2 separate regions of the Mus musculus genome follow, and region 2 is reported to be linked to region 1. The links are microRNA targets in miRTarBase. Many come from high-throughput screens and were not tested one by one. Region 1 holds a microRNA gene; the other region holds the end of a gene's coding sequence.

Evidence for each region. Region 1 holds the annotated microRNA mmu-miR-497a-5p (CAGCAGCACACUGUGGUUUGUA, at 11,124-11,145, shown strand). A microRNA usually pairs through its seed, bases 2 to 8, with sites in the 3' UTR of a target mRNA and lowers its output. Matches are read on the target gene's strand: a 7mer-m8 pairs with bases 2 to 8, a 7mer-A1 pairs with bases 2 to 7 and ends in A, and an 8mer does both.
Region 2: miRTarBase lists Bri3bp as a target of mmu-miR-497a-5p. Seed matches in the 3' UTR shown: 8mer at 8,143-8,150.

The regions. Positions count from the first base shown.
Region 1 is chr11:70,223,607-70,239,512 of GRCm38, forward strand. Mir497 (microRNA 497) reads left to right here and starts at 11,111; the gene lies at 11,111-11,194. It overlaps 0610010K14Rik (RIKEN cDNA 0610010K14 gene), which reads right to left and starts at 14,308. Exons shown (of 6, transcript NM_145758.1): 1 at 14,178-14,308; 2 at 13,925-14,019; 3 at 13,271-13,372; 4 at 12,418-12,605; 5 at 12,090-12,194; 6 at 11,598-11,858. The coding sequence starts at 14,198. The coding sequence ends at 11,854. It overlaps Mir497b (microRNA 497b), which reads right to left and starts at 11,210; the gene lies at 11,086-11,210. Mir195a (microRNA 195a) reads left to right here and starts at 11,436; the gene lies at 11,436-11,529. It also overlaps Bcl6b, Rnasek and Gm40191.
Region 2 is chr5:125,448,725-125,464,630 of GRCm38, reverse strand. It overlaps Bri3bp (Bri3 binding protein), which reads right to left. Exons shown (of 3, transcript NM_029752.2): 2 at 12,859-12,961; 3 at 3,746-10,305. The coding sequence ends at 9,878. It overlaps Gm40325 (a long non-coding RNA gene), which reads right to left and starts at 65. Exons shown (of 2, transcript XR_868516.1): 1 at 1-65.

The DNA.
Region 1 (15,906 bases):
AAGACACACGTACTGGACGTTAGATAGACACCAAGATGCTACCAAGGGGAGGTGCAGCAGGCACATAGGCAATAAGACTCAGCCTTCCCCTTGTGGCTGCTCTAGCCAGCCTCTGGTGTTTTGATGGGACCCGAGTCCTAGCCATCGTCTTTGGTGATGGTTGTGTGTGAGGAGGTGGGGTTGGGTTGCTCACCAGCATTTAGAACCTGAGCTAGCATAGATGCACTTTCCAGGTTTTTCCCTACTTTCTCCTCGAAGCCTCCCCACCTCAGTCAGGAAGTGACTTCAGACCGGCAGGATGCAGGTGGTTCCGGAGAAACTTCATGAAGTCACTGGTTCCTACACAATGAACCGGAAGGCTGGGGCAGGGAAGGAGAGCAAGGACCATAGAAGACCGGTGGGATGGAACAACAACGTGATGAACACAGAATCCAAGTTATTAGTTTCCAGAACCTCTTTCCAGGTCCCCAGGTTCCCTGCCCCCAACACACACGCAAACACAATCCTAGGACACAACAGATGGCACAAAGAAGGGCTTCTTTATTCCAAGAATCTGATCTTGCAGCATCTAACATCTCACCCTGGCGCTTCCCACGTGCCCAGCCAGTCTGCTAAACAGAAATCAAACCACCTTCTCATGTCTCCTCTGTCGGCGCCCCCAGCCCACACACAGTTCAAGTCTGCATTCAGGTGATAGGGCAGTTAGATGGGAACAGGAAGAATGAATGGCTTTCTCACCTGTCCCCAGCTGCTGGCCACAGGGACCACCTTCATTCAGGAGTCTCTGTCCTATAAATTTAAGTCGTTTTACCGTTTACCCAAGTACTATAATCAAATAGGTCCCAGGGCAGCAGGAGCAGGACTGTACATCGAGGCTCCCAAATACTAACATTCCAGACACTCCGTCTAACCATGAAACTCCATCCCTAACATCTTTATCTACCATGTTCCACACCAGAAAATGCAGCCCTCACCAACCTTGTAACACTCTCTGGTAACTTGTTCAAGTGGAAGGGGCCTTTGGCCAATCCATCAAAGGCTTTTAAGTATATAATCCCAGCAACAATCCCCAATGACAACAAATGCAGCATTGAAGGCAGCCCTCTTTTCTTCCGGTGTAAAGTCCTAGTACATTCACTGGTCCCAGACAGGAATGGAATGTTGGGTAGTCTGAGTCTCAGACCCAGATTTTCTAAGTTAAGAAAGCTACCAAGCACCCATGAAAGATGAACGTTTTGGAATCTGGACACTTGCCAGAAGCTGTCCAAACACAAAACAAACAAACAAACAAAAAACACATTCAAAGAAGGAGGGCCAAGGGACATTCAAACCCAGCTGTTCATGCAGTAAAGGACTCAGACTCCGAGTCAAGGAATGCCATTAATTCTCTCTAGGTCATAGCATTCTCAGAACCCAGACAGATAAGAAACGGTCCTGTAGTCTCTAGTAAGGATCTTCAGGAGATACTAAGTCAGGCCCGGTGAGAGGATTATGGGTTTAATACAAACCCTTAGGCAAGCTTGGTCTGATGGATGAACTTAGTGCATTCGAACCCAGGCAAACCGTTGATGCTGGGCCTCCTTGGTGGAGACAACTCACCTCCATTTAGGAAGATGCGGGCTCTGGCTCCCACCTTCCCAGCCTTCAGGGGGAGTTTATTATCTACATTTTGGGTTCATTACAAAAGGTTCCCATCACCCTCAAAAAGCTGAAAGGTTTCTTTCCATGTCTGGCCTGCTACAGGGCTTTCATCATCCAAAATACCAAAATTACCCAACCTTCGATATTCTCAGGGCTAAGCCCAGGAAAACTAAAGGATCCAGTTCTAGAACTGGAGAGAAACCAACAAGCAAACAAAGGGAGGGAAAGACAGGACAATTCCAGAAAGAAAAGTTAGAAAGGAAAAGGGGGGGGAAAAAACAAAACAAAACAATGTAAGACACTCAAGCCAAAGGAGAGAGCCAAGCACTAGGTATCTCTGCCAGCAGAGTGGTGCCCTCCCCTTCTGTGTTTCCAGTCTTTTTTGATCACACTTGTGGAAGAAGAAAGTCGGAAATGCAAACAGAATAAAGGCCCTGGTACCAACTACAGGCCTCAATAAATTATATTTACAGATAAACCATTTGAAATGGAGGGGGAAGTTCCCTTAAAGAGAGCAAGTCCCCCCCAACCCCCCAAGCCCCTAGCTACCCAATCTGGATTATGAGGAAGAGGTTTTGACCAGCAAAACAGAGGCAGATCTAGCCAGGATCTGCCACCTCCCGCTCTTCCCCAGTACAAAATTAAGGTGTCAGCAGTTTCTAATACCAGGGTAACCCGGCACACCCCCATATCAGGACCATCAGGGAAATCAAGCCTGAGCCTACAGCTTTCACTGCCCCTAGGGAGCGAAGTTTGGCTGGGGGTGGGGGGGAACTCAGCTATGGTCCCCCGAGGATGTGGTAGCGCACTTTAGTGTTGGTAGCTGCCCCGTGTTTCTGACGCAGATGCAGCCGCAGTTGACTCTTGTGCCGAAAATGCAGGCCGCAGGGGTCACACTGTGGGAGGACAGGTCTGTCAGGTCCCAACCTTTCCATAACCACCTTTCATTTAGGACTCGGGAACTGTCTAGCTCTCCGCTGACAATCAGCCTTTCTATGTCCTCTGGGGGCGCCCAGGAGATAGGCCTTGCCTTTCTTAACAAAAGCATCAACAACTGTTAGGTCCTTGGGACAACAGCACCTAGTCCAGGCACATAATTACCTCCACCCCTTCTCCCGGGTGCAAGCCTCTGATTCACTAGGGCTCTTTAGGCTGTCGCTTATTCCTAGCACTTCTGGCAAGACTCGTCCCTGCGTATACGAGGGATAATTCCATTATTAGGCTGTATAGGGTACCCACGTGGTATGGCTTCTCCCCGGTGTGGATGCGAACGTGGCTTTTGAGGGTCTGTAGATGGCGGAAGCGGGTTCCGCAGGTGGGACACGGATAGGGCTTCTCTCCGGTGTGGATGAGCACGTGTGCGCGTAGGTGTGCCACCTAAAGGGCAGAGCCTTGAGATCACCTTGGGGAGGGGCGGAACCCTCTTCGCTCCTCCCATTTGCCTTCCAGCCTTCTCCTTACCTGAACAAAACGCGAGCCGCAGGTCTCACACTTGTACGGTTTCTCTCCGGAATGGATGCGGCTGTGTGTTTTTAGGTTAGCAGGTCGGTTAAAACGTGCTCCGCAGATGGAGCAGCGGTAGGGCTTTTCCCCTGCAAGTTGGAAGACAGTCAGATCGCCCTACGGGAGCGGTGGTCAGGAAGACCAAGACCCCCTCCTACCTGTGTGCACCGTGCGGTGACTAGCCAAGTTGCCCTTATAACGGAAGGCAGATCGGCACAGCTGGCATTTATAGGGCTTGTCCTCGTCCCCTGGAGCTAAGAGCTCCAGCCCCGATGAGCACCCAGCCACAGCCTCACAGTTCTGGCAGCTGAAAAACTCACTTCCTAAGGGTAGGGAACAATGACAATCTTAGTTATTTACTGAGGACTCCCCCCAGGTACCCATAAATCTACAACAGTACACTAGTAGGGTCTGCTGGCCCTTTTAACCCCTAAATTATTGTGGAGGCTACTGGCGGTCACTTGGCTTGTTCGTGGCCAGTCAGTCAGTAAGATACGACTGATTTAGTAGCATGCTGCTAATTTCAATGGTGCTGACAGTGTGTGGAGTGGGTGGAGCTTTCTGTTTCTTTCCTTTCTTGCCTCCTTCTGGCTTGCCAGAGAGGCCCTGCCAAACTCTGGGCAGATCGTTCAGTCTTGGATTGGGTGGGCCAGAAATTCCCAAACTGTGCTGCTTTTTGGAAGTACATAGAGAGCTTAAAAATATTTATGATTGGTCCTCACCCTCAGACATTCTGACTGCTGGGGTGAACGTTACCCAGAGGGGGTCCAATGCAGTCAAGTTTGGGACTATTCAATAGGTCTATTCTGAGGTCTTTTTGGTCCAAATCGACCTGGATCAGCTACAGGAGAGAAGCCAGAAGAGAAAGCCTCTTACCTGGCGGTGGATTAGCCTGCTTAGAAGCTGGCAGAGAAGTCTCTTGAGCCCGGGGTGTGAAGAGGTAGGAGTTATTTGCTAGAGCTCCACACTTGAATCGTGCAGTGGTAGTAGCTAGAGATAGTCTAGGCAGAAGTTAAGAGCCATAGAAAAGGTTAGGGATTGGGGGTGGGGCACTGGCTCCCCCCGCCCTGCCCCTTTTCTGGAATATACAGACTTCAAGGCCTGTCTTCTGGAAGTGAGCCAATATTGATCATTAAGTCCCACCTTTGGCCTTTGGCCAACTCCCTAAGCTGGGTTAGTATCCCTGAAACCTGGTTCAGAGGGTGCCACAATGGCCTACTCAATGGCTCTGCCTCCTAGAGTGGACCAGACTCTAAAACTCTTGGGAGTTATAGATTCTATACCTGCTTTGGAGACCAGGCGTGGTTCCTTCTTCACTGCTGCTGCTGCTGCTACAGGCTTCATCTCCACTAGGGAGCCTGGCCTGGGGACAAGGTTGACCTGAACTCTCCCCAACCAGGCTTCCTGCTTGTGAGGTCTGAGAATTTAGCACAATAAATTTGTATTTTTTCCAGTTGCAGGCCTTGGGGTCTGGGCTGGCTGGACTTGGGGAACCTTGACTGCAGCTTCGAGACTCAGTAGGTGGGTCTGGGTGTCCTTCTGAGCGCCTGGGACTGCCTGGTGGAGCGACTGTTGGGGGTCTTGGGGGTTCTACCTCCACAGGTCGCAAGGAGATGCCTAGAGGTTCATAGCTAGAAAAAGTAGGATGATCATTAACACCGTCTCCTAGTCGTTGCCTTTGCCCTTATTCCCGGCACTAGTTCTGCTAGGGAGAATACAAATCCATGGTTCCTTTACCTGGCTTGGATGAAACGGTGACACGCCTGGACTACGTGTTCCATCTGCAAATAGGTGGCAGCTGCGAGGACAGCTGGGGCAGTGGCTGGAGAGAGGCGAAGCCTTGAAGTATACATGAAGTCCAGAAGAGGAGCAAAGCCTCTGGCTTCTGGCCCCCCCGGCAGAGAGAGTACATCCACCCCGAGTCCCGCTCGGCCCCGGAAAATTGAATAGAAGAAGCCACTGGAGAGAGGGCAGATGGGTTGGTCATGTTAGGAGCCGGGAGACCAAAGGAGAGTCTTGCCTCCCCACTAGCACTGCTGCCTCAATTTTTGGATGCTCTCCCAAGCTTCCCCCTCCCTTCTTCCTTCCTCCCCCCTTCTTACTCTCCAGTTCTGGGATTGCCGGTGTGGACCATTATTCCCAGCTTCCCTCATGCTTTGGATTACCTCTCAACAGCCATGTTACTCTGTTTTTTCCCCAGTTAGTCCCCAGGTGCCCTACCCCCTCGAACCTGCAAGCGATAAGAACTGCCTTGTGCGCTCTTAGGGGTTGCCCGCCAACCAGCAGCGTGACGTCAGTGAGGATCCCGCGCAGGCGCAGCTCATTCAGATTGCTAAGCACGTCGGAGGAGTGGCGGGTGAACTCTCGGACGTAGCCCAGAGCTCCCTCTGGGGCCGCTGTGGAACCCATAGCGACCTAAGCCTGCGACAGCCACCGAAAAAGTTAGAGGATCTAGGCATTACTAAAACAGATTCCTTTCTTCTCTGATGTTTTCTACCTGGGATACCCCTAGAGCCAACCAACGCCATCAGATAGCGGACTCAGCATCACCACTTAATTCCTCTCGTTCATTCTGCCCTAAACGGTTGCTTCCTTCCTTCCCTTTGCTGGATCGCGGAGATCTTGGAGCAAGTTAGAAACTCTCGTTCCACCGCTTGGAGGGCGAGCGTGAGGAATCCCGCACTCCCGCGCGCCGTGCGTTGGTTCGACTCTAGTTACCTCATCCACTACCTTCCTTTCCTCTGCTCCCCGGGCGCCTGGGTCACAGGTACCAGACTTTACCTGGGGGACCAAATATGATCTGCAGCCCACACCCATCTACGCGACTCCTATCGCTAGACCCAATACTTTCCATCTCTTCTTAGCACAGTTCCTGGGGTTCAGGTCTTATTACTATCAACTAACCCCAAGCCCTCTTTGGAGACTCAGAAATCTGATACCCTCAGGGTTTGGTTCTTACCCCTGTCCCGCAGGGGCTGCGGCTTCTCTTCTCGAGGGGGGCGGGGTCTCTCTCCTCTTTCGGTCTCTGCTCCTTTATTCAGCCGGGATGGCGGGGGCGGGGGTGGAGGTGGGGTGAACCCGTGAGTCTGTATCCTTCCTTCCTCTGAGGCTCTCCAGATGGTGAGCCCGGGGCGGGGTCTCCGTTTCAAACTGTATCTCAGAATCTCGGGGTGGTCGTATCGTGGATGGCTTTGGTTCATTAAATAAGCACCCGAGGATGAGGATATTAGAATTGGGGAGGTTAGTGGTGCGGAGGGTGGTAATATGGGAGGCTTATGTCGTCGAAGGAGCTGGGACAGCGAGTATTGGAGTGTTGGGTTTTGGAGGCGTGTGCCAACAGCCAGTTGAGGGAGAAAGGAAATATCCTAAAACTCCTCTTTCTAATGTATTGGACTCAGGAAGAAAATAGACAGTCCAAGTGGTATCGGGTTTGGGGAGGCATTAGTGGACTCCAGTGGATCTCAGATAGTGGGAGAAGGAGGAGTGATTGACAGGCAAGGTCCAGAAAAGGGGGAGGTGGAGCTCTGACCAGGCGGGGTAAGGAGAGGGCGGATATGATTTCTAGTTCGTTTCCTTCCATTGTCCTGAGACCGGACGGCTCCTGCAGCTGCTTCCCCTCGAGGAGGTGGGGAAAACCCCGGGTGGGGACCGAGAGACGCTCGGGAGACCTAGGCGTCCGGCCTCCTACTCTCGACTCTCTTCTCAACCCTTATAGGGATCCAGAGATACAGACTCCCGCCTAAAGCCCTGACGCTCTCCATCAGTCCTAGCTTACTAGGGCTTCGAGCACCCGCCCGTCGGCTGCGCTTAGAGTCTGGCGGGACGCCGGGGTCCAGCGCGGCAAGTAGGCAAAGCTCGGCAATGTCTGCATCCTTCCACGAGAGGGCGGTCGAGCACCAGCCTCGCTTCGCCCCTAGGTCTCCTGGCTGGTGATGTGCTCAGACCAGTGAGCTGGATGCATTCGGTCCAGGCTACAGGAAACTTTCAGCTGCCTTCTCTTTCTGATAGTTTCCTCTGCACCTCTGTCTCTTTGTGGGGCAGTAGATCGAAGACAGAAGAGTTAGGGTCTCCGCAGGAAATTCAGGCTAGAACTCTTATGGAAGGCTTTGGAATGAACATAGTGGTTAGGATGAGATGGGGTCTTGAGCCTGGGAACACAGTTGTTTTGTTTTCTAATTTGATAGACCCTTCTACCCAGATGTTTGTAGACAGGAATTTTCAATGAACATTAATATGAGCATTGGTCGGAGTAAACAGAGAGGACAGAGGAGAAAGGGCAGGAGGAACCTGGTAGCTAAGTACTTCATTCAGAAGCTAGGCAGGGACCACACCCTTAGATTTTGTTTGGGGAGCCTTGGGATAGAAGGACAAGTTTCCTTTGAAGAAGAGGGGCAGAGCTGAACCCAGGTACAAAGCAGGAGCTCTTTGAGTTTGGGGTTTGGAGCATAGCAGTTGTGCAAGAATGGACCAGCATATCTAGGCCTGAGGCCTCTCCCTTCTGTTCTTGGGGGTGGAGTACATTTTGTTTGTTTTATTGGTTTTGATTTTTTTTTTTTTTAAGCAAACGTAGCAAACAAAACTGCAAACCAACTGGGGGTTGGGGATAGCTAGGGACCCTGGATGACGATGTGGCTTTACTTTGTGAAGATTATTTGGTCTCTATCCAATTTTCATCTCCAAATTTGAGGTGAAAACATTAAGGGCTTTGATGTCAGGACAGAGTTAGCTATTCTGAGTTTTGGGGTGTCACTTGCCATAGAAGTTATTGTAGTCAATAAGGCCTGTTTTTAGTCTCGACAGCTGATAGCAAATTGGAGGTGCGGGGCTGGTTTTAAAGATGTCTTAGTTCGGGGGTTTGGAGGGATTTGATGCTCCCATGTGAGACTGTCCATCTCTAATTTCTGGTCTACTGGGGGAGCATGAGTACGCAACTAATTTGGGGGACATAGTCTCTTTCCAAGTGCTGTTTCAAGGTTTGGATGAGATTGTTTGGGGACATAAAGGTCAACTTGGGGCTTTTTAGAGAGCCCAGTTACATTGAGTTGGTGGCAGAGCCAGAAGCTAGGAGAGGATCTGAAGGCTTTCTGTAGCTGAGAGCTTGATTGATGGGGGGGCAAAGTTTTGTATTTGAATCTTGTGGAAACTCATTTTGAGGGTTGGATATTCCTGTGAACATGTTTATGTGTGAAACTCCTCCACAGGAGAGAATTGAGAAGCCCCCCCAGGGTAGAAGGATAGTTTGGGGGGTATCCAGTTTCTGGGTGTTTTGCCACTGGCCACATTTGGTGAAGCTGAGAGGTGGGTCATAAATTGAAATTGATTTGGAGGTTCACCTATTCTAAAGCACACTTCTGACTTAGGTTATCTTTTGCTGATAGTCCCCTGGCACCCCAGATTGTAAAAAAAATTAGTGAACCCCCAAATAAGGCCAGAATTTGAAGGGTGAAGCCTGGAAAAAGCAGTGTGGTCCATCATAGACTCACTGGAATATGACCTGTTGTGCTAAGGGGGGAAAGGTGGCTTCATACTCTGAACCCCGATTTCTTATGGAAGAAAAAATCCGTTTGGAGGAGATGGGGTGTCTCTTGTTAAAGTGGGTACTTTCTGACTAACAGTGCTGCTGAAACTGGCAAGGAAAGGCTGTGATGGTCTACAAGGGGGGGGTGAATCTTGCACCCTGATATTTTAAGATAAGAGCCCCAAAGAGAAAGCAGACAGAGGATTGGGAATGAGGGTGAACTGAGAGGCGGGGGAGGGGTTTCCAACGGCAGCAGGGGCTAGAGGGTAAGCCAGGCCAGATATTCCCGCCTAGGTCCCTGCTCTCTTCGGCTCTCCTCCCCTCTCTCCCTCCCACCGCCCACCCCCCCAACTCAAGGAAAAAAAAACTGCCTGTGCAATAGCAATGGCAGATTCCAGTCCTCCAGGCTTTCCTAAACCACCACCGAGACCAGCCAGGGGGGAGGGGAGGGGAGGGGAGGATCGGGCTTTCCTGCTTCCTTGAGACAGGGGCAATGAGCTTGACCTCTTGGCCCCTAGCCTTCTAAAGAGTGTCCCCCGGTCTGGAAACCAGGTGTCCTGGACCCTAGCCCCCAAGCGGGGGGGCCTGGAGAAACGGGGAGGAGGAAGGAGGGAGTGACTTCCAAAATTGGCATCGGGACAGAGCAGGGCTGGCGGGAGGCAGGAGAAAGACAGAATTTTCCTGAAAAAACGGGGGTATCTAAGGACCCCAAATTTGGGTAGCTAGTTCAGGACCATCTTCCCAACATCCTAGATTTTTTTGGGATTTTTTGGGGGCCCCGGGATCCCTCTAGATGGGGTGAGGAATGTAGTGTTGGGGGAATCTGACTGGGGCAATGCAGCTGCCTCTCCCGCCGAGTTGGAGACGGATGGGCTGGGACGGGTTTTGGGGGGGTGTCCCCAGTTCTGACTGGGAGTGGAGGAACCCCTCCAGAGCTCTCTTGTGGGGGTCCCCCACCCCAGGGCACTCCCCAGTCCTTGAGCCAGCTGAGAGGAAGGAGGCCAGCGATGCGACTGGGGCGTCTCTTTTCTCCTGCACCCCAAATGTGAGGGATGCACCCCAAAATTTGCTCCTTTCAAAATAGGGGACCAGGATCTCAGGGGAGAGTAGCTGAGGTAAGTGGGGAGGAAAGTGTCCCCTGTTTTCAGGAGAGACGTGGCGGTTGGGGGGGAGGTTTGGAGGTGCGTGCTGGGGTGGGGTTGCGCCTTGTAACTCTTGAAATTGGGGGGATGACCAGAGAAGCTTTCTCTTGTACCCCTAAGACGTAGCACCTCATACTGAAACCAAAGCTTGAGACTTGAGAGCCCCCAATATTCCTACAGACATTAGGACAGTGTTTGCTTTTTTTTTTTTTTAGCCCCACAAAAGCTTTGCTGGGATGGGAGCTGGGGGACAGCAGTTGTTTCTGGGGGTCCAGGAGGGTGCAAGGAGCAGGAGGCGTTGGCAGGGCTTGATATAGGTGATCTGGTAGTCTTGGAGAGGGTCTGGCATACTAGGGGGGCCTAAAAAGATTGCTTCACACACCATCTTAAATCTTTTGATTGCTAAGAGTTTTGGGGGGGTGTGTCGGAAGCCTGGTGGTGCTAAAAGGTGGGATGAGATATGGGAGGTTAATATCTAGGGTTTACAGAGTTTTGTTTTGTTTTGAAATTTCCAGAAGAAACTTTTGCCTTCTGGGAGGTTCTTTTTAAAATCAAGTCTTGGACAGGAGGAAAGGGCTATGGGAAGGCCTAGGGTTGGGGGTGGGGAAAAGGCATGTTTGTCTTTGCTTAAACGTGGCTCTCAGGGGTGGGCCTGCTTGCCTGGGCCTGGTGAATGGGCTAATGAGTGTTGCTGTGTGGGTGGGGCGTGGGTCTTGGGGGACCATGGGGAATGGAAGCAGCACTTGGGGTTGAATACTTTGCCCTCTGGTCCAGATGAGCCTCTTCCTGGGCTCTGCTGCATCCCTTTCTCCCTGGCCTCCATTTCCTGCCTTTGGCCTCCATCTTGTGGCAGGCCCAGGGCCCAGGGCGACTTCCGGCCCCCCTCTCTCAACCGTGTTCCAGCCCCACCACCTCTGGACTGCCAACTCCCAACCCTGCTGTCCTTGGCCCTGTGTCTTCCAGCATTTCTCTTGGGTTCTGACCTAGGGAGGGAGGAATGGACACAGGAAACCTTAGGTCCCTGCCTTTGTGGGAGGCAGTTTGTTGGTCTTCCCCAGTCATCCCGTTTCCTAAGGATCCCCAGAGCTGAATTCCTACAGAGGTGAAGAATGCTCCAAGCTTATCACATTGGACTCATCTGCCAGGGCCCTATCCTTTGCCTGCTAAACTACTTTTGCTGGTTCCTGATTGTTCCCCCCCCCCAGCTTTTTTGGGGGGCCATGTTTGCCATTCACACCTCTGTCTCACTCTAGGTGGGGGTCTTCACGGCACTGCCTGTGCTGTCTTCCTCTCGACCCACCCCAGTCCTGCCCCCGCCCCAGCAGCACACTGTGGTTTGTACGGCACTGTGGCCACGTCCAAACCACACTGTGGTGTTAGAGCGAGGGTATGGGAGGCACCGATGAGCCTGGCCCTGGGAGGCCACCCTGGAGAAGCAACACACACACACACACACACACACACACACACACACACACACCGTCTAGGGTATTGTGATGAAGTTCTTGCAAGGTGGGACAGGAGACACTGGAAAGAGCCCCTCTGCAACCCCCAGGTTGTCTGATACCAGTTATCAGGAACCCTGGTAATGAGTTCTGGCCCCACAGAGCAAAGTAGAGTCTTTGTTGCCCACACCCAACTCTCCTGGCTCTAGCAGCACAGAAATATTGGCATGGGGAAGTGAGTCTGCCAATATTGGCTGTGCTGCTCCAGGCAGGGTGGTGAGAGCTACTGAGAAGGGGCCAAGCCCCGAGGGCGAAGCAGAGGAGAGGGAACGGCAGCTGGCAGCACCATGTTGAGAGAATCTTTTTTAATTATAATTTTCTGTATAAAAATGTCCATCACACAGAAGTCAAAGGGCGAGGGCACATGGTTATCAGGAACGAGGTGGATGGCTCCAGCAGCCCTCTGACCCTCTCTCAGGCAGTCCTTGCTTAGAGTCCCAGGTGATCCACAGGTCCAGGGTGAACAATGAGGGTCAGAGGTGGAAGGCTCAGCAGGAGAGGAGAGGAGCATCAGCGGAGGTGGTGAGGAGGCCAGAGTCCAGGGTCAGGCTGTCTGGAACAGGAAGGAAAACGGACAGAGATGGAGCAAGCGTGGAGGATTTTTCCAAGAAAACCCTCACCTCCTCAAACGCCGTATTACTAACTGACCCATTCCCCTGCACTGAATCTTCCTTCTGAGGCCCCTGCACCAGAAAGGGGTTTTCTGTGGGGACCCTCCCCTACCATCCAGGTGAGTATGTTCCCCACCCCCAGCCAGCGTGGGAGGAGGAGGACTCCTACCCTGGTCAAAGTTGAGTTTCTTGGCTGGAGGAGTTTCTCCTAGCCCTTCGACATCCACCAGGTCACTGTTGGCGTCGGAGTCGTTCAGAGCACTGAGTGTCACATCTGGGAGGGGGCATAGGCTAAGTTCTAGGTTTCCCTGACTGCTGTCTTTCCCTCCTCCCAGTCTGCCAAAGCTTCATGCTCTACACATCCCTCTACCCACTCTGGAATCACCAGCGTACAGAAGAGAAGCGTCTCTCCTTCTTTGACCCAGGCCCAATTCTCTTATTGAATCTCAGATAGGACCTTTAACCCCTACCCTAGGCAGCAACTCCACAGCCCTCACCAGCCTTCTGTTTCTTTATGGGAGGAACCCCAGCTTCAGGGACACTGGAGCTGCTGGGTGGAGGGGCGTTTGGAGGTGAGAGGACACCGGACGTCATCTTCTTGGGTCCTTTCTTGGGTGACTCAGCTGGAAGGGGGATGCCGGAGTCTTCATACACTTTTCGCTTCACAGTGGTCTTTATCTGAGCCCTGAAGATGAGAGAGAGCAGATTAGGGTGTCATCAGAGAAGCCGAGGGAAGAGGGGAGGGGAGGGAATAATGGGCCACTCTGAAGGAATTCTAGGAGTTCCTTTGTAGATATCCAGGTCAAGGCCCCAGTTCATGTGTAATAAGGGTCCTCCCCCCCCCCCCCACGTTCAGAACTTTTGCATCCACTTAGGGCTAATAGATTAAGATGAATGGAGTCCCTGAACTGAGTGGCCAGAAAGGCCCTTTTCATGATCCTCTGGGAGAGATGCATGGTTTTGTAGGACCACCAGGTATGTTGTGGTGACATAAAGGTAGACTGAGACTGTCATAGAACCTGACCAACTAATTAGTTCAGAATGCATCCCCTGGACATGCCAGTTTCAAAGGATTTACATAAATAGCTAGGGAACTCTTATCATCAAACACAACCACTGAGTATCTGGGCACCATGAAAATAAAGTTCTCTGCAGGCCCTAGTGACCACTGCATTTCCTGATCTTCCGACCAACTGCCACAGTGACAGTCTCTCAGTCTTCAAGGAAATGCTAACAAAACTAGGAACAAAGTAGGAAAGATGCTGAGCTGGGAGTTCTGAGAGAGAACAATGGGTCAGGAGGAAGAAAGTTGCCCACCCTCCCCTTTCTCTGCCAGCCACCCTCCCTCACACTGTCCGTTCCTTGATGACACAGCTGATGTGATTAAGATCGTCCCCAAAGCGCTTCACAGCAGCCCTCAGCATCTCTATCTCCGTCTCCGTCCACTTGGCACTGTCGGAAGGGGAGAAGGGTGATAACAAAAGTGGAAGAGGGATGTGTGGAACCAGCCCACAGGCTATTCCGTCCACAGCCAGCAGCCTCTTCCCCCTAGTCTCTAGGGGCACCTTTCAAAGATTCATAAAAAGGACCTCCTTTTAAAAAAAAAAAAGCCCTGGGGACAAATCGCTGGCCACATGAAATTACATCCAGGGCCACTTGAAAACATCACTTCATCATGTAACAGCTTCCATAAACAACCCAACGGAAACCAATGAAACAAGTAGGGGCCTTACAAACACAACCCTTGAAAGATGTGTGGCAGCAGTTTGAGGGAGTCCACAGGGCTTGGGGTAGGTGGCAGACATTCTGTCGGTTTGCAGTGGAGGGCTGTGGCCTCGGTAGTCTCTTTACCTGTCATCCACTAATTCAACAATTACCACCTACACTGAGCTGGGCCAGGCACAGGGGAATTACTCTATCTCCCTGCTCTAGAGAGGGTCGTGTCTGTGACTTGAGTCCAAGCGTCTGATCTCGGAGTCCAGGTCCTAGGCTGGTCTCACGTACCCGGCAGGGGAAGAGTCCGAGACTGGATGCAGCTGCATCGTCAACTCCCCGAGCTTCGTGAAGGCGGCGCCGGCCGCGGAGAAGATCTCTCCAACCTGGGGGCGGAGCAGCATTACGGGGGGCCGGCAGCGCGCCGTCCCACCCCAGCCTCGGATCCGCCCGCCCCCCGCCCAGCGCGCACCAGCCGGGAGCCAGGCAGGGGGCCCACCCTCCCGTGGCCGCCAGGGAGCGCAGTCCGCGAGGGAGGTCGAACCTTGGTGGACGCTGACGTCATGGCCCCGCGCACCTCCTCACGGAGACGCTCCGCCGCCACCACCACCACGCGAGCTGGAAACCACGGAGAGCCCGGCAGCCGGCCGCTCGGGCTCCCGCGCAGGAAGTCCCGCCCTCCCTGCAGCTGATTGGCCGAGACCCGACCTCTCCCCAGTCACTCAAGGGGCCTCGCCGCGCGGAGGAAGACGAGGTGGAAGACGTTGCTTCACTTCCGGCTAGCTTCATTCCACTTCCGTCGGAGGGTCCGGACTCCTCGATGAGGCCGGTCTCAGCCCCTTCCAGCCCGGGCCCGCCCCTCCCTGAAAGCACAGACAGCAAGCTTAGGGGGAACCGCTTCTTTTTATTGTAGTTCAGAACGGGGCGCGGTCACCCTCGGTCTCCTCCAGAGGCTGGGCGCAGTTTTGCAGGGCCAGGGATGACGTCTCGCTAGGGTCACAAGTCCCAAAGGACGCCAGATGAGTGGGACGGAGTCTGCGGAGTCTTTAAATAGAGAAGGGGGCTGGGGAGGGAGAGGCGGACCGCGCTCTAGCGCACCATGTATTCCTTGCGCTTGTTGAGACGAACTTGGCAGAAGGAGAAGCCTCCGAGGAGGAGGTAGAGGCCCGCGGCGATGAAACAGTTGTAGCTGACTTGCTCGTACAGGTTGTATATGTTCTGAGGACCGTTCCTGAAGGTGGCGAGCGAGCAGGGAAATGTCAGCCATTCAGAGCATCCAATATGCAAGTTCTATGCATCAGACACCATGCTAAAGCACTTTAACTCCTATTAGTCTTCCCAAGAAGCATACCAAATGAATTCTATCATGGTAACCATTTTACAGAGGTAGACCAAGGAGCAGGAAGGCAAAATATTGGAAGAGGCCACATCTAAGCTGGTGGGCTTGGGTAGCCATGGAAACGTGGCTTGCAAGACTGCTCCTAAGTACATGCCTTTCTGTGTCTCTGTCTCTCGCGCTGGGGATTGAAACTAGGACCCTGCGTGCTGCCACCCAACTACTTTGTAGAGAGCAGCCCTCTTCTTGAAGTCCCCAACCTAGGGCCACAAATGTCCAGTCTTCAGAAGTGTCCTCCCCATAAACCCAAACCATGCTACTCCTCATCCACGCCCAACTCGCCCAAGTACCCGACCACTTACTCAAAATCTTTCTCTGTGAAGGGAACGTCCTCAATTAACACAGCAGAATGGACATTGAAAAATATCCCGAGCATTATCTGGAAGAGTAAGGAATAGATAGGTTGTCAAATTCTTACCTTACTTCTTTGGTCGCTCCCTAGGCTCCTCCCCTGTCTAATGTTGGCCCAACACTTGCGCCAGAGATGAACTAGAAAGGGCTAGTTGTATCTGGTGGTTGTATCTGGATTCGGACTCAGCCATGTGGAACAGGGCGTGAGGTAGGACCTTGGGAAGAGTGACTGGGTATAGGGAGGTATATGGCAAACAGCTCTCCGAGGCGCGTCATTATCATGGGAGCAGATGGAGATGAAACACTTCATATTTCTGGAAGTGGCGGCCTTGAGGGCCCTGGGGAAGCAAGGCCTCAGCTACCGTTTTCGGGGGCAAGCACACTTCACCCTCGCCTCCATTCAACTCACGCAAGTCTCAGGGACCTCGCTCTTGTTTACCTTGGGGAGTCCGCAAATTTGCCCGAGCTGGCTCCCATTCCCAGGGTCCTGCCCCAGCACCCTTTCGCTCCAGTTCCCCAGTTGTCT
Region 2 (15,906 bases), not on the chromosome of region 1:
CTACTCTTGACAGAGACAATCCCAGGGCCTGGAGAGATGGCTCAGCGGTTAAGAGTACTGCCTGCTCTTCCAGAGGTCCGAGTTCAAATCCCAGCAACCACATGGTGGCTCACAACCCTCTGTAATAGGAGCCAATGGCTTCTGGTGTGTCTGAAGACAGCTACAGTGTACTCATATACATGAGATAAATAAATCTAAAAAATAAAATAAAATAAAATAAAAGCCAGGCAGTAGCCGGGCGTGGTGGTGCACGCCTTTAATCCCAGCACTCGGGAGGCAGAGGCAGGCGGATTTCTGAGTTTGAGGCCAGCCTGGTCTACAAAGTGAGCTTCAGGACAGCCAGGGCTATACAGAGAAACCCAGGTGGGGGGGGGGGGAAGCCAGGCAGTGGTGTTGCATGCCTTTAATCCCAGCAATCAGGAGGCAGAGGCAGGCAGATTTCTGAGTTTGAGGCCAGCCTGGTCTACAGAGTGAGTTCCAGGACAGCCAGGGCTACACAGAGAAACCCTGTCTCGAAAAAACAAAATAAAAAAAAGAGAAAAAGATAGAGACAATCCCTTCTTAATAGTGCCTGGTACAAGCTGAGGGAACCACAGGGAGCCTTAGCTGTCACTCAAAGGGGCACAGAGTGACCACTTTTGCTGCCAGCCAGACTTCCTGGAAACCCACTACCTCAGCATCTCTCCCTTCATCTACCTACATTTCCCCCCCCCCATGCAAACAAGAACACTAGAAGTATTCTGCCCACACCAATCAATATTTTCAGACACCATGGCCCATGTCCGGCCATGTACTGACTGGCCTTGGGGACAGTGTGACTCTTGGATTATCACAGGGTGAAGACTCATCTAGATTCTGAAACAAGTACAGAGAGTCCTGCAGGGATGGACGACTGTTCCAAGTTCTAGAAGTCAGACTGCTGGTGATCACTTCAGGCGGTGGGCCCTGCAGCACCACTTACGGAGGGTAGATGAAGAGATGCCTTTGGGTGAGGGGATACTTTTCCGGTCTGGTGGTCCCCCCCCCCCTTTGAGTGCCCAAGGCTCGGAGGGCCACAGAGGGTCACAGGGTAGAGGCTGTGACTGAGGGCTTTTTCTTCTGGTAGAAGGCACTGGCAGCCTGGTGTGTGTGTGTGTGTGTGTGTGTGTGTGTGTGTGCGTGTGCGTGTGTGTGTGTGTGTGTGTGTGTGGTGTGTGTGTAGCAAAGGAGGGGGTTACTTTCCAGGGCTTCAGCTTTCAAGAGCCTCAGGTGTCAGAGCCTTAGCTCCTTGACAGCAACAAGGTTCACAAGTACAAGTCTGAGACTGAGACAGATAGGAGGGACTCATCTCTCCCTGGGGCCCTGGGCAGGTGTTAAGCAATTAGAGAATTGTTTTAAATCATTATTATTGTGGCGGTGCATGCGTTTTATCACAAACTCAGGAAGCTGAGTTTGAGGCCAGCCAAGGCTACACTGAGATCCTGTCTCAAAATATAAAAACCGGTATTACTGTTCATGGTAAGTTGTTTATAAGCACTCCTGATATTAATTCTGTTTATTTCTTCTTTGACAATTTCATGCACATGTACATGATGTATTTTTTAAATTTACTTATTTTATTATATGAGTACACTTTTAGCTATCTTCAGACCCACCAGAAGAAGAGGCACCAGATCCCATTACAGATGGTTGTGAGCCACCATGTGGTTGCTGGGAATTGAACTCAGGACCTCTGGAAGAGCAGCCAGTGCTCTTAACCGCTGAGCCATCTCTCCAGCCCATAATGTACTTTTATTATATTCACTTCCCAAGCATGTGCGGGTAAGTAGGTGGGTTCGTGTGTACCATAGTCCACATGTAGTGGTCAGAAAGACAAACTTAGGGGAGTCAGTTCTCTCCTCCTACAATGTGGGTCCCAGGGATCAAACTCAGGGCGTCAACTCGTTGGCAGGCACCTTAACCTCATCTCACTGGCCCCATTTGTTTCCAAGGTAGGGTCTCATGTAACCCAAGGGAGTAAGGAGGCAAGAAGGCAGAAAATTAGAGACCGTAGGCTCGGGTTAACTGGAAGTGTTGCAGAAATCGGGCAAGCCTTCAGGGCCAAGGGTGTGACCCCAAGGTCTAACCTTATAACGCTGGTAACTGGTAATGCGAGGCAGAGGTTACGAGCTAAAGTATCCCAACTTCCCACAGGAGAGCTGGAAGCACTGGCCACTGAAAAGAACTTCAGACTCTTCCTACCTGGTAGGTCTGGTACAAAGCCAGGCATACCCGAAGACTGAAAAATCTCAACTACCTAGGAGCACGCTAGCTCCGGGAGCACACGCTGGTTAAGGGTACAAACACTGATCCCTGCAGCGCTAGAGGGCACCATCTGCCTGCTGTCACTACTTGTTGAAGCCAAAGGCTGGCAGAAGCCAGGGCTCCAGGCTTCCTCCGCTGCCCACCACGGCCACCACCACGCCCCCCAGAATTTTTAGCAACCAGAGGTTTGGATCTTAATGCTTACTAGCTTCCACAAGGACCACAGTGTGTCTTCATAGCTTCACAGCCGGAACCTTATCTTTGCCCCTGTGGTTTCTACCCCAACCTCTCTCTGCAACTCTTCAGCAGTACTTTGTTGCTATCTGTGCATGTGAGCAAACCACACACACATTCACGCACACACCCCATACTAAATACAAATTTTTTAAAACTTTAAAAACACACAGATACACAAAATAATAACTTAAAACTGGACTGGAGAGATGGCTCAGCAGTTAAGAACACTTACTGCTCACAAACATCTACAACTCCAGCTCCCAGGGATCTGATTCCCCCTCAAGATTTTGTTTGTTTGTTTGGTTTGGGTTGGGTTTTTTTGTTTTGTTTTGTTTTGTTTTTCGAGACAGGGTTTCTGTGTATAGCCCTGGCTGTCCTGGAACTCACTTTGTAGACCAGGCTGGCCTTGAACTCAGAAATCCACCTGCCTCTGCCTCCCAAGTGCTGGGATTAAAGGCATGCGCCACCACACCCGGCTTTTTTGGTTTTCGAGACAGGGTTTCTCTGTATAGCCCTGGCTGTCCTGGAACTCACTTTATAGACCAGGCTGGCCTCAAACTCAGAAAGCTGCTTGCCTCTGTCTCCCAAGTGCTGAGATTAAAAAAGTGTGCCACCTGCCCAGCCCTCGTCTGGGTTCTTGGCAATCAATTACAAACACATAAAAACATAATTAGCCGGGCGGTGGTGGCGCACGCCTTTGATCCCAGCACTTGGGAGGCAGAGGCAGGCGGATTTCTGAGTTCGAGGCCAGCCTGGTCTACAAAGTGAGTTCCAGGACAGCCAGGGCTATACACGGAAACCCTGTCTCGAAAACAAACAAACAAACAAACAAAAATAATAATAATAATTTTTAAAATAGCCAGGAGTAGCGCTTCATTTCATTAATCCGAGAACTTGGGAAGCAGAGGCAGATGGGTCGCTGTGAATTCAAGATTACCTTGTTCTACATAGTGAGTCCCAGAACAATCAGAGTTACATAGTCAGAGTCTGTCTCAAAAATAAAATAAATAAATATAAATGATGGGGCTGAAGAGATAGCTCAGTGGTTAAGAGCACTGGCTGCTTTTGCAGAGAACCCCAAGTTCTCAGCACCCACACAGTATCTCTCTGTCATCTGTAACTCCATCTTCAGGAGATCCAATGTCCTCTTCTGGGCTCTGAAGTCATTGCATGTATATGGTGCCATCACATATGCAGACAAAACACTCATACACATACAGATAACTTAATCTTTTTTTAAGATTTATTTATTTATTATATGCAAGTACACTGTAGCTGTCTTCAGACACTCCAGAAGAGGGCACCAGACCTCATTACGGGGGTTGGGGGGTGGGGTGGTTGCAAGCCACCATGTGGCTGCTAGGATTTGAACTAGGGACCTTCAGAAGAGCAGTCAGTGCTCTTAACCGCTGAGCCACCTCTCCAGCCCTTTTTTTTTTTTTTAAATTAATCTTTAGTGCAGGAGAGATGGCTCAATATTTAAAAGCACTTGCTATTCATGTAGATGACCCGGGTTCACTTCCCAGCACCCATATGGCGGCTCATAAACATCTGTAACTCCGTTTCCAGGGACTCTGACCATCAAGGGCACCAGGGACACACAAAGTATACATACACTCACGCAGGCCAAGCAGTCATACACATTAAGATAAAGAAATAAACCAAAGCCATAAAATGACTCTCTAATTCTGGAGGTTGCCTCAAGTGCCTCACCAAAGTAAAGAAATCCATCCAGGAGTCTGAACATCACCACAGTAAACATTTATTAAGCCGCAATGTTCACAATATTTTAATCCAATTCTTAAAGTCGATCTACAAAGACCTCTAACATCAAGCCAGTGATTAATAAATAAGAGGAATGTATCCATCACTTTGCAAAAAAATACTAAGCCTGACGCTTTTTTTTCCCTATATAAGATATTCGTAGAATCAGCTTCCCAATTAATGTTTGCGCATGTGCGTGTGTGCACACACCCCACTATGTTCACACGGAATGGCTTTCTTTCTACTGTGTCAAACTAAATACTATTTAAAATTTCCTAAGCTGAGACACAAAACAGAAACTCAACTGTGAAGAAGTCATTGGTGTTTTTTTTTTTTAATCTGCAGCTAAAAACAGGGAAATAATTACCTCTTGGGGGATTTAACTGCACATTGATCACTGTCACTAGAAATTAATTTAATTACAGGATATTTAGAGATTTATCACAGATGCAGACAGGAAACTGACACAACAGCATAAGCTTGAAATCCGCAGAGACATCGGGCGGAGAGTCGGGCATGCCACTGGCTGCCGTAGCTGTCCCGGTGGCAGCAACAATGTGCTGTTTGTGCCATCAGGACTGAAAGACAGGTTCTCCGTGTCTGTCCTAGCTATGGAAGGACCACCAAAGAGCAAAACACAGAAGGAAGCAAAAAGGCCGAAGCTTGCTGATGCCAGCCAGTGACAAGGGTATTGGGTTAAAACCCGCAAAATAGAAATCTACAATTCACAGGTGAGGAGCCCAAAGCCCAAGTACATAAATGGTCAAACTCAAAAACATTACAGAATTATCACAGGTTGCTTTGAAAGCAGCTTTCATGCTGGGGGCAGAGCTCAGGAGCCCAGGACTTGAAGGTAAAGAGGCTGAGAGGGTCGCCTTGGAAATTCCTTGTAGCTCCAGGTGCGCACCAGGCTCACCAATGCTGGCTTTCTGGGCATGGTGGTGCACAACTTTAAGCCTGGTACTTGGGAGGCAGAGGCGAGCAGATCTCTAGGTTCGAGGCCAGCCTGGGCTAGATTGAGACCCTGTCTCAGAACAGACCAAAGCAACAGGGCTTGTGAAGAAGGGAAGTGCTTCAGGCTGCCTACCAAGCACAAGATGCAGAGGAGCTTTGTTAAAGATTCTCGTGCTGACTCTTGAACATGTTGGGTTAGTTTGCTGAGACAGGGTCTTGCCACGTAGACCAGGATGGCTTTGAACTCAGCACCTTCCTATCTATCTGGAGACTGAGTCCTGGGTTTGCAAAGCACATCGGGCTTCCTGGTCACGCTGTTTCCGAGCCATCTGTGAGCAGGCCGGAGTGACAGGACCACGTGAGCAAGCAGAGCTCTTCACACACAGGGCCCTTGAGTGTGCCAGGGCCATAGGACAATGCTCCCAACCTTCCCTCAGAGGTTCTCATGAGGTCCCTAGGAAAGACATGCCTTCCTGGTTGCTTATTCACAGCTCTGCTCCTAACCCCCTGTGGCCTGCTGAGCCTCATCCCCAGGCTGCCTCTTAGGCTCGTCCCTGGGTCACTTTTATGAATTAGAGGACCCTATCATGGGTCAAAAGGCCAGCTGTGAGGACATTCTTTTCCACACTTATTGCCAGTAGAAAGAGGGTCGAGCCTCAACAAAGGGCCCAAAGGGTGGGGGATGCTAGCAACAACAGGAAGTGAGTCTGTGAAAGGTGTCTGTGTGCTATACCAACAGCCTCCTGACTAGAAAAGGGAAGAGACCACTATACAAACACTGACTACAGGCTGGGACCGGGCTAATTTGGTAGAACGCTTATGTAAAATGTAGGAGGCCCGGGGTTCCATCCCGAGCAGATGTGTTAGCATCTGTCTCTAATCCTAGCATCCAGAAGGATCGAGATCAGGAGTTCAAGGTCCTTCTCCACCACATAGCCTGTTCGAGACCAGTCAGGAGTCCAAGAGATGCCATCTCTAAAACCCCGAACCATAGGGCCAGAGAGGCTGCTCAGTGGTTAGAGCACACCGGCTGTTCTTCCAAACAACCTGGGTTTGACTTTTTCAGCATCCACAAGGCAGCTGACAGTTATCACTAATTCCAGGGCGATCTGACACCCTCTTCTCCTCTCTGCAGGCACCAGGCAAATACGTGGTACACAGACATACAAGTGTGACAAAAACAAAAAAAACAAAAACAAAAAAAAAACCACCCATATACATAAAATAATTCAAAATAAAACACCACCATCAAAAATCACCAACCCCAATACCCTAAGCTAAGCCCAGTCAGTACACTTCAGAGGCAACCAGTCCTGTCCTCGGTAAAGCAAGTACCTAATATGAGAGACGACCACCAGGGAGTTAATACTGACTTTGAGACAGTTATAATCCTTACACTATCTTTTCATTTAAAAAAAAAAAAGTATATATGTATTTATTGGGGCCAAGGGGTGGGAAGCCACAGCCCATGCGTAGAGGTTAGAAGGAAACCTGTGGGAGTGGTCTGTCTTTTTTCACCATGTTGGTCCCGGGAATCAAACTCAGGTTTGGTGGCAAGTGCCTTTCTTCATTGAGCCATATCGCCTGCCCCGCCCCTTATCTATAATAGATCCACAGTGGCTGCTGTCCAAATGTTTATCATGTTATTCGGTTAAGGAGGAGTTGTACACAGCCCTGAAGATAAGGCATGAAATAAGGTACAAAAATACATCTTTCCACATACAAAAGAGATAGGGGGAGGGGGAAGGGAAGGGAGGCCAATAAGCTGTCCACGGAATGAAAGAAGAAAAGAAAAAAATCTTTAACTACTGGGGGCTATGATTACTTCCAAACAATGCCAGGCATGGTGGTGCAACACCTTTAATACCAGCAATCAGAGGCAGGTGGATCTCTGCAAGTTAGAGGGCAGCCTGGTTTACACAGAGAGTTGCAGGACAGCCAGGGCTATGTAGAGAGACCCTGCCTCAAAAAGAAAAACAAACAAACAAACAAACAAACAAACAAGCTAAAATATATGCATCAAACACAGTAACACCATCTGAAGTTTTTTTGTTTTGTTTTGTTTTATTTTTTTTTGTTTTTTGTTTTTTTGATTTTCGAGACAGGGTTTCTCTGTGTAGCCCTGGCTGTCCTGGAACTCACTCTGTAGACCAGGCTGGCCTCGAACTCAGAAATCCGCCTGCCTCTGCCTCCAGAGTGCTGGGATTAAAGGCGTGCGCCACCACGCCCGGTTGAAGTTTTTAAAAACAAAAAAACTACTAGAATTTCAAGTAACATTCTACTCTGATTTGTACATTCTTCCACTAAGAATGAAGGTATCCAGGACTGGACTCTTGAGTGCTCTCTTAACATGCATAGGCCGCGTTCACCCCAAGGCGTTCGAACAATGGGGGCGTAGTCACATGTGCACATCATTCCTGCACTCGGGCTGGGGGCAGGAGAGTTTAAGGCCAGTCTCAGCTACTTAGCAAGTTCAAGGCCAGTCTTAAATACATGAGACCCTGTCTCAAAAAATCATAATAACTAGATGTAAAAATTAAAATGAAGGCATCTTGTGTATGTATATATATAGTGTATATATACAAATAATACATGAATATATATAGCATATATATGTATATACACATTATATATATTCAACTATAAAACTGGCTTTAGAGTCTACATTTGGTCAGACTGGAAAAAAATATTGCAGATTTTTACCTTTTTTGTTGCTATTGTTTTGAGACAAGGTCTCAGTGTATTAAAACTGCCTGTCCTGGAACTCACTACATAGACCAGACTGGCTTTAAACTCCGATGTGCCTGCCTCTGCTCTCTTGTGCTACCATACCTGGCTTTTGGTCTCGCTATGTAACCCTGGCTGACCTGAAATAGACCACTTAAGACCTGGCTGGCCTTCAAATAGCAGCAATCCTCCTGCCTCTGCCTCCTGAATACTGGGTGGAGTTGCAGTCTTAGCTACAGTGGACTGTATAGGAATCGACCTACAACATCTCAAGTGGCCACTGAGAGGAGCCAAGGCAAGAAGGTTTAGCTTTACAGAGAGTGACTGCCCCCTAGCCAACATCTGAAAAGTAATCTTTTAGTATGATATGACCAGACATCTGGAAGGAAAGATATTAACAGCCAAGGTGCCCCTTCTCGGCTACTTCCACCCTGTGCCGCGAGTAGATATGCCTAGAGCATCTAAACAACAAAATCGGAATGTTTCACATCACAAGTTGTGGATTTCCAATGTCTGTGGAGAGATTTCCCCAGTACCGGTTCCAGAAGGGAATGAAATTCAAGAAAATGAGAGTCCCATACTGCCTGTCACCTCGAGAACAGAGGTCTCTCTCGGCCACATCCTCAAAGACCCAAATCTGTGTGACAGATACCTGTAACCAAAGACAGAACTTCACAGACATACGGCACCAGAGCTGCCATCAGCTGGGTCCCCCTCCAAGCTCAAGTTGGGACTCAGTGGCTCCACAGTCCTCACGGGCGACCCTAGTGACATCCCACAAAAGCCAGCTCTCTTTCCACAGAAGCTGGCAGAGAGGTCTCTGCACCCAGGGGTTTAGCTATTAACAAGCAATGCCCTGGACCCCAGACTTTAAAAAGCACCTAACACAATTATAAAAATTTCAGGACAAACGATTCAGATCTCAAGGTTGCTTATGCCTACGAATGTTCTAGAAGGAATGAAATAAAGGATGTTACTGGCCGTGAACGGTTCCTTTTTCTTCTATGGTCCCGAGTCAATTAGAAGCAAAGGAAACAAGTGATTCCCATGAGGGTCCAGCCGGCTATCTGGGCCTCGCTGGCCAACAGGGAATGTGAGATTCAGCTGGATTCTGGAATGATCTTCGGGGCCTACCCGGTTCTTAGCATCAAACTCCAAAGACAGTTTGCAGCTCCATCCATGTCCTTTCTTCCTGGAAAGGCTAGGGTTAATCTACATTGAAGTCCAGAGAAGAGAAAGAGATCTCGGGACGTCTGTGGGTACCTTCATTCAGAAATACAATGGACAAGGGTGGGGGGGTGGGCTCAGTATCCCCAGCACCATACAAAACAGAAATAGACATGGAGGGGCACAATGGACGAAGAGCTCACAGGATCCCTAGGATCCAATCCTCTGAAGCCCAAGTGTCCACAAGAACAAGAGACAGCACTTGTTAACCAGGTCACCACCAACCCCAGAAGACACGAAATAAAGGTCACATTCGGGAAGACGAAGAGATTGCACACGGTGCTCACCCACAAGCCAATTTTAACCTCCTTAAGGACGTCAAGCGTTCCCTTCAAAGCTCTGATAAACTTGACTCCATCTGCCTTTATTTAAAAACCTTACAAAAGATGTATTTAAATGTTTGGGAAGAAAAATCAACATTATGTTCTATGCACAGGTAAAGTTATCCGACTACACAGCTAACAGGGGGTATATCCGTTGTTTAAAAACTGCTTTCCCACTGGTGATCTACGAAAGTGCTCTCTCCTCCAGTGGCTCCTAAGGTCGACACACAGTGGGAAATACCAGGCGTGGCGTTTTTGCTCAGTTTATTGGGAGGGTTGGGATTTGGTGGGGTTGCCGGCTCTTCTCTTCTTCTTCTGTCTTTTGACATCACTAGCTGGTTGGACGGCTAGGCAGCTGACCTTCACTTGTCCTTGGAGCGGTCAAGGTTCTCGAGCACCCTGTTGAGGCGGATGTTAAGCAACCTCACCTGGTTCTCCAGGTGTTCCAGCTTCTCCTCCACACTGGGGCTGCAAAGGCCACCGGGGCTGCCCCGCCAGTAGCCCATGGGCCCCGTCATGAAGTAGATGGCCACCACGACGCAGAGCGGTAGCACTGCGTGCTCTGGCTCGCCCTCGTACTTATGTAGGATATACACGCAGGACATGGAGAACAGGATGACACGCACGAGCCAGAAGAAGCGGCCAAACACCAGGTGGAGGAGGCTGAAGGTGAAGCCCAAGGTCAGAGACAAGAACCAGTAGGCCAGGAGAACCACACCAACCAGCACCAGGGCCCGGGTGGGGCTGTTGGACACTGAGGCTGGGCTGAAGTACTGTGACAGGTTGGACACTGCAAAAGAGGACAGGGCCAGTTATTCCCACGTGGTCGGGACCTTCTCGGAAAGCAGGAAGGACAGCTGAGCTCTGGGGCCGGACCCATAGGCTCCGGTCACAACCCGACACAACGAAAGCAAAATAAAGCAAATACTTGAGGGGCACAGGTGGTCTCTCAGGACTATTAGTATCCTCATGAGTTGAGAACACCTTTTATGGCTGGGTAGTAGTGGCACACACTTGGGAGGCAGAGGAAGGCGGATTTCTGAGTTCCAGGCCAGCCTGGTCTACAGAGTGAGTTCCAGGACAGCCAGGGCTACACAGAGAAACCCTGTCTCGAACCCCTCCCCCCCCCCCCCCACACACACAAAAACACCTTTTATGGGACTGGAGAAATGACTCAGTGGTTAAAAGCACTGGCTGCTCTTGCAAGGACCTAGTTTGAGTCCCAACAACCATCTGTAACTCCAGAGACAGGGCAATGTCAGACAGACCCTTAGGTTCTGCATACATGAAGTGCACAGATGTATGAAACACCCATAACACATAAAAACAAATAATAAATAAACCTAGAAAAATATTTTTACAAGCTGGGCAGTGGTAGCTCACACCTTTAACCTGGCACTCATGAGGCAGAGGCAGATGGACGTCAGTGAGTTCAAGGCCAGCCTGATCTCCAGATGAGTTCCAGGACAGTCAGGGCTACACACAGAGACCCATTTTTATAAAAATGGTGCTGGAGTTCAAACTCCTCATTTTACAAGGAGCTACCCTCAGACTGCTTACAGTGGCTCACATCTGTCATCCCAGCACTCAGGAAGCTGAGGCAGGAGGATCAGATGTTCAAGGCCATCCTTGGTTCCACCATAGTGAATTTGAGGCTAGTGTGGGGTACAGGAGACCCTGTCTCAAAGACAAAGCAAAATAACAACCACACACACACACACACACACACATGACCAAAAAAAAAAAAAAAGCAGCAAAACAGAAATAGTAAAATTGATTTCACCAACTTTGAGATGAGATGGGGAGTCCTCACATAGACCAGGCTGGCCTTGAATTCACAGAGATCTGCCTGCCTCTGAGTATGGGGGTTAAAGGCATGAGCCACCATGCCAGGGTAAATTTCACCAATTTCTTTTCCCTATAACTAGACCAGTAGAGTGCCTCTATATACCTCAAAGCTTACTGCTATCAAACCAATCTGAGCAGAGGGGTCTCCATTGTAACTAACATTCTGAAAACTGATGGGGAAGAAAATACTGGGAGCTGAGAGCAGCCACCTTGAAGACGACCCTGGTTCTGAGCTTCAGTCACGGTTCCCAAAGGCCTTCGGTGCCCTGCAGCTTATTCAAACCAAGAGGGAGACTCACAGCACAGAAACAAGGCATCAGGGGATAGCACCCGGCCAAGTCTCCTCAGTGATGCCCAGGGTCCTGTGTTACCCCGCTCTGCTGTCTCCCAGACCCCACTGCATGCAATTCCTTGCAATCTGCTTTATCTCCACAGGCTCACTGCCCAGGGATGGTAACCCGGAGTTGCACAATCCCAGCAGGTCATGGCTGAGGCAGCCAGCCCTGGCAGGATTGCATGCAGTTGCAACGTTTGGGTATATGTTGACTCAGCCCAGTCCCCAGGGTGGGCCGCGTGCCTCACAGCATTCTGAGGGCCACCTCTCTACTTCCTGAGTGGCAAGGTGACACGACCTGATGTGAGGCCTTTCGAAGGTTAGACTCGGTGAGTGGAGGCTGGAAGTGGGGTGAGGGGTAAAGAGCAGACCATTGTGGTGGTATGTGGGTCCCGGCTGGTGCAGTCTGACTCCACCATGAGCCCGGGTCCTAGAACCGTAAAGAAGGATGCCTGGGGCTAACGGATTTTGAGAGGATCCTGTTACGTCACTATATCTGTTTTCTGGCTTTGCCACAACTGAGCCCCATACACCAGGTATCTGATGAACCTTAGATGGTGAGGTTCATCCCCTCTCCGGGTTCCAGGAGCCAAAAGGCCAAGTCCACGGCTGTGCTCCCAAAGTGACTTTCCTCTCTACTGACTCTACCTCTGGCATGCTGAAACACACAGCCCTGCATACAGCATACCTGTGTGAGGACTCTCGGGAGCCTCTTCTGCCCTCTTCTGGCTTCCAGAGGCTCCAGGTGGCCCAGGTCACCATCACTGCAGGCTCTACCTCCATTGTCTGCACAGTATTTTTTGGGGGGTGAGATGGGGGGGTGGGTTCAAGAGAGGGTTGTTTAATAGCCCTGGCTATTCTGAACCTCACTCTGTAGACCAGGCTGGCCTCCAACTCACAGAGATCCGCCTGTCTCTGCCTCCCAAGTGCTGGGTTTGAAGGTGTGCGCCACCACCGGGTACCCACACAGCTTTTGAAGTTTCACAGACCACAGGTTCAGCTCTTAAAAGTAAAATGCTCCTTCCTCCCCATGGTGCTCCATACCCTCAGCCCTCTGGTGTTCTCTCAGCTAAGGACACGGAGACTCCCCACATAGTGAGACAGCCCCCCAAAACAAAAGCTCGCAACCCAAACACCTTGCACAACCATCCCCGTACCTACCGTCAAGCCCAAGGACTTCTAAGAGCTCCATCCAAACTTTCCATAACGTCTCTAAGAACATGTCCACTCCCTGCACGAACCGCTCGGTCAGCCTGGACAGTAACTGCAGAGACGAGAAGACAGTAAGGAATCAACCAATCAATCCACTGTCCTCCCAAAAGCCACTCAGGTACTGAAGTGTGAGCTCGGGAGAGGACTGGACAGGAAAACCAGGAGCTGCCTTGGGGACAGTCTGTAGCCAAGTGACGAACAAGGGTTGATAGCTGGTCCACCACCATGGAGAATGCGGAAAGCCCGTGTCTGTCTGTCTGTCTGTCTGTCTGTCTGTCTGTCTGTCTGTCTCTCTCTCTCTCTCTCTCTCTCTCTCTCTCACACACACACACACACACACACACACACACACACACACACACACACACACCACAATCTGGCTGCACTGCACCTACCACTTCCCCTAGAGTTCTGCTGGCTCTTGGTCAGGGTATCTGGGAGTGTGTGCTCTCAAGATGCTTCCTTGGCCAGTTGGCTCTCAAAGGACCAACTGACTGGGAAGCCCGAGACCGTGCTCTCTGTCTATGGCTCTCCAGGGGATTTGGGAAAGCCAGGAGACCAGGAAATCGGGAGTTCGAGCTCCTGCCTCATCTCTTGTTCTCTTTTGAGTGAGTAATCCTGCTGGCTAGTTTCCTGTCAACTTGGCATAGCTGATATCATCAGAGAGGGACCCTCAATGGAGAAAAATGCCTCCAGAAGATCAGGTTTGTAGGCAAGCCTGTAAAGCGATTTTCTTAATTAGTGATTGATGTGGGCGGGCCCAGCCCACTGTGGGTGGTGCCATCCCTAGGTTGGTGGACCTAGGTTCTGTAAGAAAGCAGGCTGAGCAAGCCATGGAAAGCAAGCCAGTTAAGTGGCACCCCTCCATGGCCCCTGTTCCTGTCTCCAGGTTCCTGCCCTGACTTACTTCAATAATGAATATGAAAGCACGAGTCAAATAACCCCTTTCCACAGCAACCCTAACAGTGATATTATACACACGTAGCCTACAACTCGAAACCAGGGCTGAGATGTAAGTTTTCCTAGCAACTCATGACATCCTGAGTTCAGCTCCCACCATTACAAAAACGGGGCAGCTCAAACTGCCTGCAACCCCAGTTCCAGGGGACTCTGATGCCTTCTTCTTGTATTTGTATACTTAAGCACACACACACACACACACACACACACACACACACAATTCAGTAAAACTAATCTTAAAAAAGAAAAACACGAAAAGCTAGCATAGTGGTGTTCTCACTTTCAATTCCAATGCTCTGGGGACAGAGGCAGGTAGACTCTGACAGTTCAAAGCCAGCCTGATCTACATGTCCATAGTGAGTTCTGGGACAAACAAAACTTGTACATTGAGACTCATGTTACACACACACACACACACACACACACAGAGAGAGAGAGAGAGAGAGAGAGAGAGAGAGAGAGAGAGAACAAATAGAAAAAAATCACAAGGAAGGATGGAGCTAGAGCAGCAGGCTAGGCAGCAGAACAGGCTTTGATGGCACCAAAGCCCAGGAAGTAGTGTGCAGTTCTTTTAGGGTAAGCTACATTCTGAGCCATGCTGGACCTTGGTTTTCCCAGTTGGAAAATGGGACCCAGAGAGGATTCAACAAAGGAAGGTGAAAAGGCTCATTCCTGCCTGCAACCCCAGTTCCTGGGGACTCTGATGCCTTCTTCTGTCCTCTGTTATTTGTGCACACAAGCACACACACTCACCATTTAATAAAACTAATCTTAAAAAAGAAAAACAGGAAAAGCCAGCATAATGGTTTTTGTGGTAGGTCACCTGGTCCAGTCAGCAGTGAGTGACAGGGTAACAAGGCTCCTGGGAGGGCAAATCCAGACCAGAGGTTCTTCCCTCAGGCTGTGAACTGGACAAGAGTGGGGAGGACACGCCAGGGGAGGTCCCCACCCCTTCAGCCACATGCAGATCTCTCCGGCAAAGCTAGACCCATAGACTTCATAGAATTGATAGGGTTCAGCTGTATTCTAAATATGAAGCCCCTGGTCCCCAGTGATGGAATGTTCAAAGACAGGGTCTTTAAAGAAGTGAGCTGGTAAAGGCTTGTGTCAGTGGGACAGGCTTGTCTCCCAGCTACTCAGGAGACTGAGGCAGGGGATGTGTGAAGCGGGCAGGGGGAAGGGTATTGGGGGGAGGTGTCTCTGCCTACACCAGGGCTGGCGGAGTGAAGATCCAATGAATGATCCCAGGATCCACAAGAGGCAAGGAAGGAAACCTGATTCAGCACGACTCAGCAGCGGGGGTTGATTCAACCATCTAGAGTCTGTCTGACATCACAAAGTTTATTTTAGGCATAGTTAAGTACAGTACAATTTGGGGAAAAAAAAAAAAAAAAACAAAACGGGTTCCTGGTGGAACACAATCCTAGGTGTTCAAGGAGGCATGACAATTACACCAAAACTATTCTCAAAGTACGTGTCGCTTCTTCTATGAAGATGGGCTTTATAGATAGGCTTTACCTTCACGTGTTTGCGCTTTTGAGACAGGGTTTCTCTGCAGACCAGGCTAGCCTTGAAACTCCCAGAGATCGACCTGCCTCTGGTGAGCTATTATTTTCTTAATGGCCGAGGGGAGGATCTGCTGTGGTCTCCGTCATACATACAGCCCAGAGGTCATCTGGGCTATCAACCACCTCTGGTCCTGTTTGTGGGAGCCTGGGGAAAGCCCTGGCCATATAGACAATGCAGAGACCATCTAGACTATTGGGCACCTCTAATCCTGGCTGTGGTAGCTTGTGGGGAACCAGGTATCGCCTGGCCTCTACACCTTACCAACCTCCATTGCCAGCCCTCTGGGCAGAAAACAGGTTATAAAAAAAAAAAGAACATGTGTGTTTAACATGCCTGGTTTCCCCAGTGCTTATCTGTGAGCGCAAGGACCTTTGTGTTCACAAACAGGCAGGAAGACAACAAGTTCCAAACCTGCTTTGGGCTAAAGAACGATCAGTCTGAGGCCATCCAGGAGGTGTTAGTGAGATC